2 linked regions of the Schizosaccharomyces pombe genome follow. Each later gene encodes a partner of the first gene's protein in a complex. Each region holds a gene or a part of one and is shown on either strand. Other genes may lie near its edges. The genes, in order: acp1 and acp2.

Region 1 (4,096 bases):
AAACTAGCTACCGCGTTTCAGTCCTTACAGGTGAACATAGATAATAAAGTTGATGAAATACTAAAAGATAATATTGTGAGCTACCATCAGCCATCTGGTACATTATCTTTATGCTTTTCAAAAAATGAGCTCAAAAAGCACTCTAATCTTACTAAGGAAGAATTGCTCTTAAGGTGTCTAACATTGACTACAAGTTGCAGACAGATTAAACGATCTTCTGTTGTAAGCCTTTGTAATTCAGTTTTTGATGGAAAAAAGCTAACAATTGCTAAATGTCTACTCACTTCCTCTTCTATAAAGGACGACACTAAATTACAACTCCAAATTTCCAGACAACCATTTAGTAAAGCTGAATTGAAAAAAAAAACTATAACCATAAATCCTGATCGTTATGTTTTATGGGATCACAGGTTTTGGATAAAGTACAGTTGCAAAAATACACAGACTACACTTATACTTAGACCGTTGCTTTCCAAAGATCTAAATTCATTGAAGGGATTTTTGAGTAAGGAAGAGTTTCTTAAATTTTGTATACAAGTTCCGGGCCATATCAGGTTTACTATTCCAGTCTTGTCGGAAGAAAACGATAAGTTAGTTGGAATACCTACTTTTGGGTTTAATTTTAGAAGTGATATTATCTCAAACTGTCTACACAAGTTCAAGCTTTAATTGCTGCTTGAACCATGAAATCAATGTTAATTAGAGATACAAGATTTGTGATTTAATAATGCCTCATTATTTATTTATATTATCACAAAGTCAGAGGTGAAAGTCAGATGCTCAGAGCATATTCTGGTGATAAATAGCACGACTGATGCTTACACACAAAAAGTAATACGCCCTTAAATTACTGGTGACGAGCGGTAAAAAAATGATGAAGAACTTGTATTATTGATCGTAAAAAAATAATTTCCTAAAACTTATAAGAGTTTAAGAAAAGAGCGTGTGAGTTGCTCTTGTAAAGTTTTAGAAAGTAAACGACTAGTAATTATTAGTCGTATATCGAGCGACAATGTATATGTATTTAGGAAGAAGGAAAAGGAAACAGCTTGAATCACCGTCTTAAAAAATATCGTCGCAAAAAAATTTCCAAAATTTATAAACACATATAAGTGTTTCAAGTATTTCTCATACGGATGCCACTAACGTTTTCCCAATTAATTTTCTGGCGAGTGACTGGAAGTTGACGACGCAATTCTTTAAACTTTTTGTCATTAAGTGAAGAAAGTTCAACGTTGAAGGACTGTTGAATTCCATTTTCGACTTGAGCCAACACTTCATAAAGCTTACTGGTCTCCTCGACTGTAGCAGAAATAGGACGGGATGCATCCAACCAAACATTTCCGTCTTCATAGTAATGAACACGAATATGCGACCTGCCTTCCAGTTTCTTTTCCGAAACGTTGTAATTGCATATACAGCGCCACGAACCGTTCCAATAGTTCTTGGGATTATACTTTGAAGAAACCAAAACAATTGTAAACGATTCCACTTCATCGCTTTTTTTGATGATTCCAAATGTTACATCAGATAGATAGTGATCCGAAGCAACCTTTTTAATTTGCTTTACTATTTCATCGGGAATTTTTATGGCTTCGGTATAATCTTCAACGTTTTCAGCTTCCTATGAATACTGTTAGCTATTTAACAATTATCACAAAAAAAAGATTTGAAAAATTTAACCTTACCATAGTTTCATAATTAATGGTAAATGATTTCTGTAAAACTTGATCATAATAGCGATTGCCCTCTAGACGATTATCAGCTGAAATAATTACTTTTTCGTCATCCGATATGCTGACAGAAGAGTTGTAGTCTTCATGATAAAGCTTCAGTTGTTCGTGAATTGCTTCCTCATCACTTAGACCGATGTCGCGTATATCTATTATATGCATTAGAATGTTGAGGTATTCAGCACTTTAACAAACCATGAACTACTTGATTAACTTCTCCTGGAGGAGATTCTCTAATGAGTTTGTAAATTGCCTCCTTTTCCATCTTTCGAAATTTCTATAATGTGGTGCGGACAATGGTGAATGGTAAGAAACGAATACGGATGGTGAAGACAATGCCGCAAAACTATCACCAAAGAGTTGTATAGTCTACCAAATCTTCCAAAAAAAGGAGCTATAACCTAATTTTTTTTTCTTTTTATTCATATATAAGTAAATATAGCCTCGGAGGTCGTCTGGTTAATCGCTTAGTTGTTCATTTGAAAATATCAACAATGTTAAGGAAGACAAACTTATCTAATATCACGACGCTTCTAAGAAGTGCAAGATGTATGAATAGAATGCCTCAACTTCGCTTCGAGCATACCAAAGGTGATTTAAAAAGGGTGAATCGCTCTTACGAGACTAGAGACGCAATGTTGGCAAGACTTAAATATCAATCTAGAAAACGGGGAATATTGGAAACGGATTTGCTTTTATCTAATTTCGCCAAAGATCAGATTGATAAATATCCAGTATCTCTTCTGCGAGAGTATGATCAATTATTAGATGAGCCCGATTGGGATATGTAAGTAAATGAACTTGATATACTTAATGTGCGCTATTTTAACGTCCAATTTTTAGTCTATACTGGTGTTCAGGAGAAAGGGAAGCACCTGAAAAGTGGAAATCGAGTCAAGTCTTCAAGGAATTGAGCAAATACTGTCGAAGTCAGAGGAATCATACACTTCGAATGCCAGAACTATTTTGAAAACGTTTCTTGTTTCTCTAAACTAATGTTTATTTTTGACGTTGACTTTTCAATAAAATATTAAAAAAAAATTCGTGTAATGATTAAAATTTAACAGTATATATAGATTTTTTTCCCTTCAATCTTACTTCTAAGAAACTTAGTCCAAAAATAATGTCTTTTATTCTACGATAGTCAGATGTAGTCCTAATTCTTAGTCAATAGGTAACACAATCTCTACTTTTTCAAAGCTTCAATTTCTTCAATTTCTTTTGGAGCAGCACTAGTTAATACGAACGGCTTGTCATCACCAACGATTACGCTATCTTCAATTCGAATAGCTATTCCTTGAGCCCATTGAGGCCATCCGTCTTCTTCTGGAACATATAGTCCGGGTTCTATGGTAATCTAAACCCCGTTTAGCAAATAATCTGAAAAGAACTTCAACTTACAACTTGGTTTTTGCGCAACGGTTGGTAACCATTATTCGTAGAACAATCGTGAATCTCTAGTCCAATCTCATGCCCAATTGAATGCGGATACAATATATCTGTAATCTCCTATAGCCAAGGAAGTTAGTACGAATATTTTGCGAAGTAGCAAACTTACCCGTTTAGTTCCATGAATGCCGACCTGCTTCAATTCTTCATGCATTAATTTAACACTTTCAAAGTGAATATCAGCCAAGCTCCAGCCATTACTGGTGCAACAATACTTAATACATTTCTTTTGCACATTCAGAACTGCTTGATATAAATCCCTTTGTACAGTACTAAATTTGCCGTTGATGGGCCAAGTCCTCGAGATATCTGTTACATAACCACCGAATTCCTGTTAAGCAAGTGTTAATTGACAAAAAATTGAAGGCACTTACACCGCCAGCGTCTACCAAAACCATTTCGTCAGGACGGAATATATCATTATTAATTGTGTAATGGATAGTCAAGCCATTCTTCTTTGTTAATAAAGCTTAAAGTAATAGCATTCAGCATTTTCAGGAATTGATTACTTACTTTTCCACCTGCTACTACAGGCACATATGCGGATCTATCACAGCCTCCAATACAAAACCGATAATTGAATTCCGCGGACATTTCAGCTTCTTTCTCAAATCTTTTCCGCATAATTTCCCTGTAAACATTTGAACTTATATTGGCTGCTTCTTTCATGCACTCCAATTCAGCCGTACTTTTAATGCTCCTAAGCGGATGAAGAAGTTCATCTACCGACCTTTGGGTTGAGGTTCTAAAGAGTTTAGTAAGCGTATCTTGTATGAATTCAGGAGCGGATGCAGCTGGCATTTTTGAGAGGTATCCGGTTTGGTAATTATAAAAAATCCTATTCGACTTTTTTCCTAGAGCGTTTATAACCGAGGAAGCTAGACTAGAATCATAAACCTAATAATTAATACCTT
Region 2 (3,968 bases), 2.5 Mb from region 1:
ACAATTCTAACAAACTTCGACAAACCATATCAAAATCCTAAATCACCAGCAAAAAATCCAAATTAAGAGTTGGACTGCCCTCACTGCCTCACCCACTTCACCTGTCATAAACACAAACAAAACTACTTACAAAACAAAATTGCCACGTTGACGTATAAGCTACAGCAATCAACACAGCAACACTGAATATCAAATTGCTAATAGTACACAAAAACAAGAATGAACAAAATTAATGCCGGCTAACCTTCACAACACACGCGCGCATAAACTGCCTATTACACTAAAACAAGCAATATGCAATATTTACTTCGTTGTATAGCGCCAAACAATAACAGATAGCACAAATGACTTAAGATTTATAGCGACTTGGCTTCAAAGGGACAAAAAAGTAGTGCCCTATAACAAATTAACGATTAATAACGATATCGAACTCTTCCGCGCGACTAGCAATTTCAAGAGTCGAACCGAGGAAAAATGTGGTTTGCAGAGGGAAGGAGGAAACATGTTGGTATAAGTCACCGTTGTCCTCAGGGTTAGGGTTTTGATGTGAATCAACATTGCGGCGGATGAACGATTAGATGATAATTTCAATGGAGGGCGACTGACCAATTATCTTTCTCCTACGTCACCACTGGCTAAAGCTATCAGGCGCAACGCAAATCGCGGGGTGTTATTGTAAACAAACAAAACCAAAAAATTCGGCCAAACTATGTGTTCTGCAAGTAAACAACTTAATAATAATACAATTAAAAGATAAATGATCAACAATAATTGCAGGTTAACTTCTTACAAAATTTCGATAAAAGTTTCAAACCCACAAAGCACATTTTCTGTTTTAAGTGTTTGTAATCACACACTCACTGCTACAACAACAGTAATTACAGCCTTTGTCAAGACAATAAACAGATAGAAATACGGAAAAGTGCAATTATCCAATGTAATCCTCCAATGTACTGACAAAAAGGTTCAATCCAGTTTAAGCAAGGTTAGAAATGTTTGTTTACACAATTGGTTTCAGCCGTGCGCTAGTAGTCTTAGTATGGCCAAACATACGAAAAAAGTTAGAATGCAAGATTCGAACTCGGGATTTCAAGAACTCCGAACGGGACAAAGAATCTTATGGAACGGAATGGAATCATTTCTCGGTCATTTGAGAAACCGTCCTACAATCTGATTGGTTAAAAGGACCACACCATGAAAAAACCCATGTGATTTTTGCGAATCAGAAATCGGTGAGAGATGGGAGTTGAACGCTTGTACATAATTACGTGACAGTGGCAAAATCTAGGCTCTCCCAAAATTTTTGATCACAGTTAATGTTCCGCAAATTTTTAGAACGTTGAGTCGCGCTATTCCATTTGAAAACCGTTTAACAAAACAAATTAAATGTTCTTTATTTCTAAGGAACGCAGTTTGAAGATATACGAACACTAAATTCGTAAGTTGTCATACTGCATAACGACAGTAAAACGTTATTAAAGGTTGAGTGGATGCTAAAACAGAAGGTGAGATGTAGATAAAGATCAAAAAGCAGTTAAACAATGCATTTGTTAAGGTTATAAACATAAGAATAGATTTTAAAAGATCCATAGTTTAAATAAAATGAAAGACCATTGCTTAAAATGAAAGAAGGACGTTTGTTATTGACTTTTTTATGACTTTACATGGTTTGACTCGTAGAAAATCCAAACTTTAGATAGAAAGCGATTCAAGCATTGACTTTGGCATATAATTCTCCTTGTTTCTGTATTAAGGAATTTAACCGATATACAGAAAAGTTTTGTATTCGTTGCCAATACTAAATTTAACTTGAAAATGTTCAATATTGAAAAATAGACAGCTTATTGAAGTGACCAACAGTAGCATCTAATAAATTCTTGACTTTTTCCGCTTGAACAAAATGTGCTCTTCTTTTGATTATTTTTAACAGCTCATTGATATTACCAGTTTGATTATAAAGTAAGTTTGAGGTTGGTTTTTGCTACGTTGTCATCACCAGAGGGTTCATCGTTCAATGTTCACCGCCATATGTTGTTCACTTTCTAAACTTACGCAGAAAGCACCAGAGTACAAGTACCTCACCACCAGTCAGTCACCTCTACTATTTGTGTACTGCACCGTGAAGAATCTTCGTAATTTATGCGACGAATCTAAAGTTACTTCCTATAATCATTAAGGCCTCACTTTTATTCTGAGATCGCTATCCGGTTGTATTCTTTTGTTTAAAGCATTATATCATCAACTCACCATGAATGTAAGTATTACTGAAATTAATTACCTTGCCCAATTTTTTTGTTATATTTTTATTATATAGCCATCTGTAAATTCATCTTATCATTGAATGCATATTTCATCGATTTTCGTCAGTATTGCTCAGAGACTTTATGAATTTGCTTTTCACATTCTTTGTCGTTATCCTTCTTTACAATATCAGCTAACTTATTCTTTTAGTCTGAAGACGCTGCATTAGATTTACTCCGACGATTAAACCCAAAAGATATCTCTAAAAACCTAGACACAATTCTTTCCGTCGCTCCCGATTTAGCTGATGTCCTTCTCTCGTCTGTTGATCAGCCTCTAAAAGTAAATACTTGTTCTGAGTCAGGTAATCAATATTTGTTATGTGACTTTAACAGGGATGGAGATTCGTACCGCTCACCATGGAGCAATAAATATGATCCTCCTTTGGAGGATGGTTTAGTTTCTACTGATCGAGTTCGTAAATTAGAAGTTTCTTTGAATGAAGCAATCCGTGTCTATCTTGATCTTTATTACGAGGGCGGTGTTAGTAGCGTTTATCTTTGGGACCAAGACGATAGTTACGCAGGCGCCGTTCTCATAAAAAAGGGTATTTTTATTTTCTGTCAATTTCATTATATAATTCTAACTTCATTTAGCTTCTACTTCTAACTCAAGCGGATGGGATTCTATTCACGTGTTTGAATGTCTGCCTACCACGGAAACCAACGTTTATGATTACCGACTTACAAGTACTATTATCCTTTTCCTTTCATCTGGCTCGGAGGAACAGTCTGCCTTGCCTTCCAAAGCTCTTAACCTTTCAGGTCATTTGACTCGCCAAACTTCTCAACGATTACCAGCGGCAGATGATGACACTGAGATCGCTAATGTTGGCAAATTGGTTGAGGAAATGGAAACTCGGATGCGCAACTTCCTCCAGGATGTCTACTTTGGAAAAACTAAAGATATCATCAACCAGACTCGTTCCATTCAACCCGTTTCCGATGCCCAACCAAATGATTCGGCTTTGCGTTCAGTTTTAAACGATCTTTCCATTTAGGATTGCTTTTTGTTTTCTTTCCGTGATCTTCTCATAGTATTCGTTCCATCTTCAACGAAAATAGTCATAGAAAGATTGACTAATATAAATAAATACACCGATAATCTAATTTTTTTACAACAGTTTTAAAAGAAATTATTGAATTTAATTGTTCAGTAAAAAAGTTTATATAAATAGCATTAAAAAATATACGTTAAGAGACTTTATAAGAAAGCTGTTAATCGAAGATCATGTAAAAAAGGTCATGAAATAAGCTGATATGGTTTAGACGAGGAACGTGATCGAAGAGAGGAGTAATTTATTGGAATTGGAAGACGCGCCAGGTATAATCGGTGAAAAAGGTCAAAATCCATACCCATCTTGTAATGCCAATCTGGCTTTTGAGAAGTTAGCGGCTTGGTACGTAGCTGAACTAACCAGAAACCAGTATACTGCATTAACTCAAAAAGCTGGGATTGGGTAATTCCACGGGGAAACGAAAAAATGCCACAGTTCCATGAAATCCAAACTATGTTATACATTATATACAACATTTGTTCCGATGAAAATGAAGTCATGGGTTTTTGATCAGGCGAAGGGAGTTGAAGCGGGCATGGTAAGGGAATACTGGTATACTGAGCTAAAAATATACAAATAAAGGATAAAGTTAAAGCACAATCAGGATTTA

What was found.
Region 2: acp1 (region 1) and acp2 share a complex: the UniProt entries of both Schizosaccharomyces pombe proteins name them as parts of the F-actin capping complex.

Annotation. Positions count from the first base shown.
Region 1 is NC_003424.3:4,583,157-4,587,252, reverse strand, and holds acp1 (F-actin-capping protein alpha subunit), read right to left. Parts: upstream 2,039-4,096; 5' UTR 1,999-2,038; coding exon 1,929-1,998; intron 1,883-1,928; coding exon 1,689-1,882; intron 1,625-1,688; coding exon 1,118-1,624; 3' UTR 717-1,117; downstream 1-716. Other genes in the region: til1 (tRNA(Ile)-lysidine synthetase family protein), read left to right, coding at 1-669; succinate dehydrogenase subunit Emi5, read left to right, coding at 2,228-2,520, 2,577-2,703; peptidase Icp55, read right to left, coding at 2,920-3,090, 3,135-3,242, 3,292-3,513, 3,557-3,634, 3,696-4,079. UniProt on the Schizosaccharomyces pombe protein: F-actin-capping proteins bind in a Ca(2+)-independent manner to the fast growing ends of actin filaments (barbed end) thereby blocking the exchange of subunits at these ends.
Region 2 is NC_003424.3:2,103,530-2,107,497, reverse strand, and holds acp2 (F-actin-capping protein beta subunit acp2), read left to right. Parts: upstream 1-2,064; 5' UTR 2,065-2,248; coding exon 2,249-2,254; exon of another isoform or gene 2,255-2,451; coding exon 2,452-2,848; intron 2,849-2,897; coding exon 2,898-3,301; 3' UTR 3,302-3,468; downstream 3,469-3,968. Other genes in the region: protein Atg14, read right to left, coding at 3,544-3,968. UniProt on the Schizosaccharomyces pombe protein: F-actin-capping proteins bind in a Ca(2+)-independent manner to the fast growing ends of actin filaments (barbed end) thereby blocking the exchange of subunits at these ends.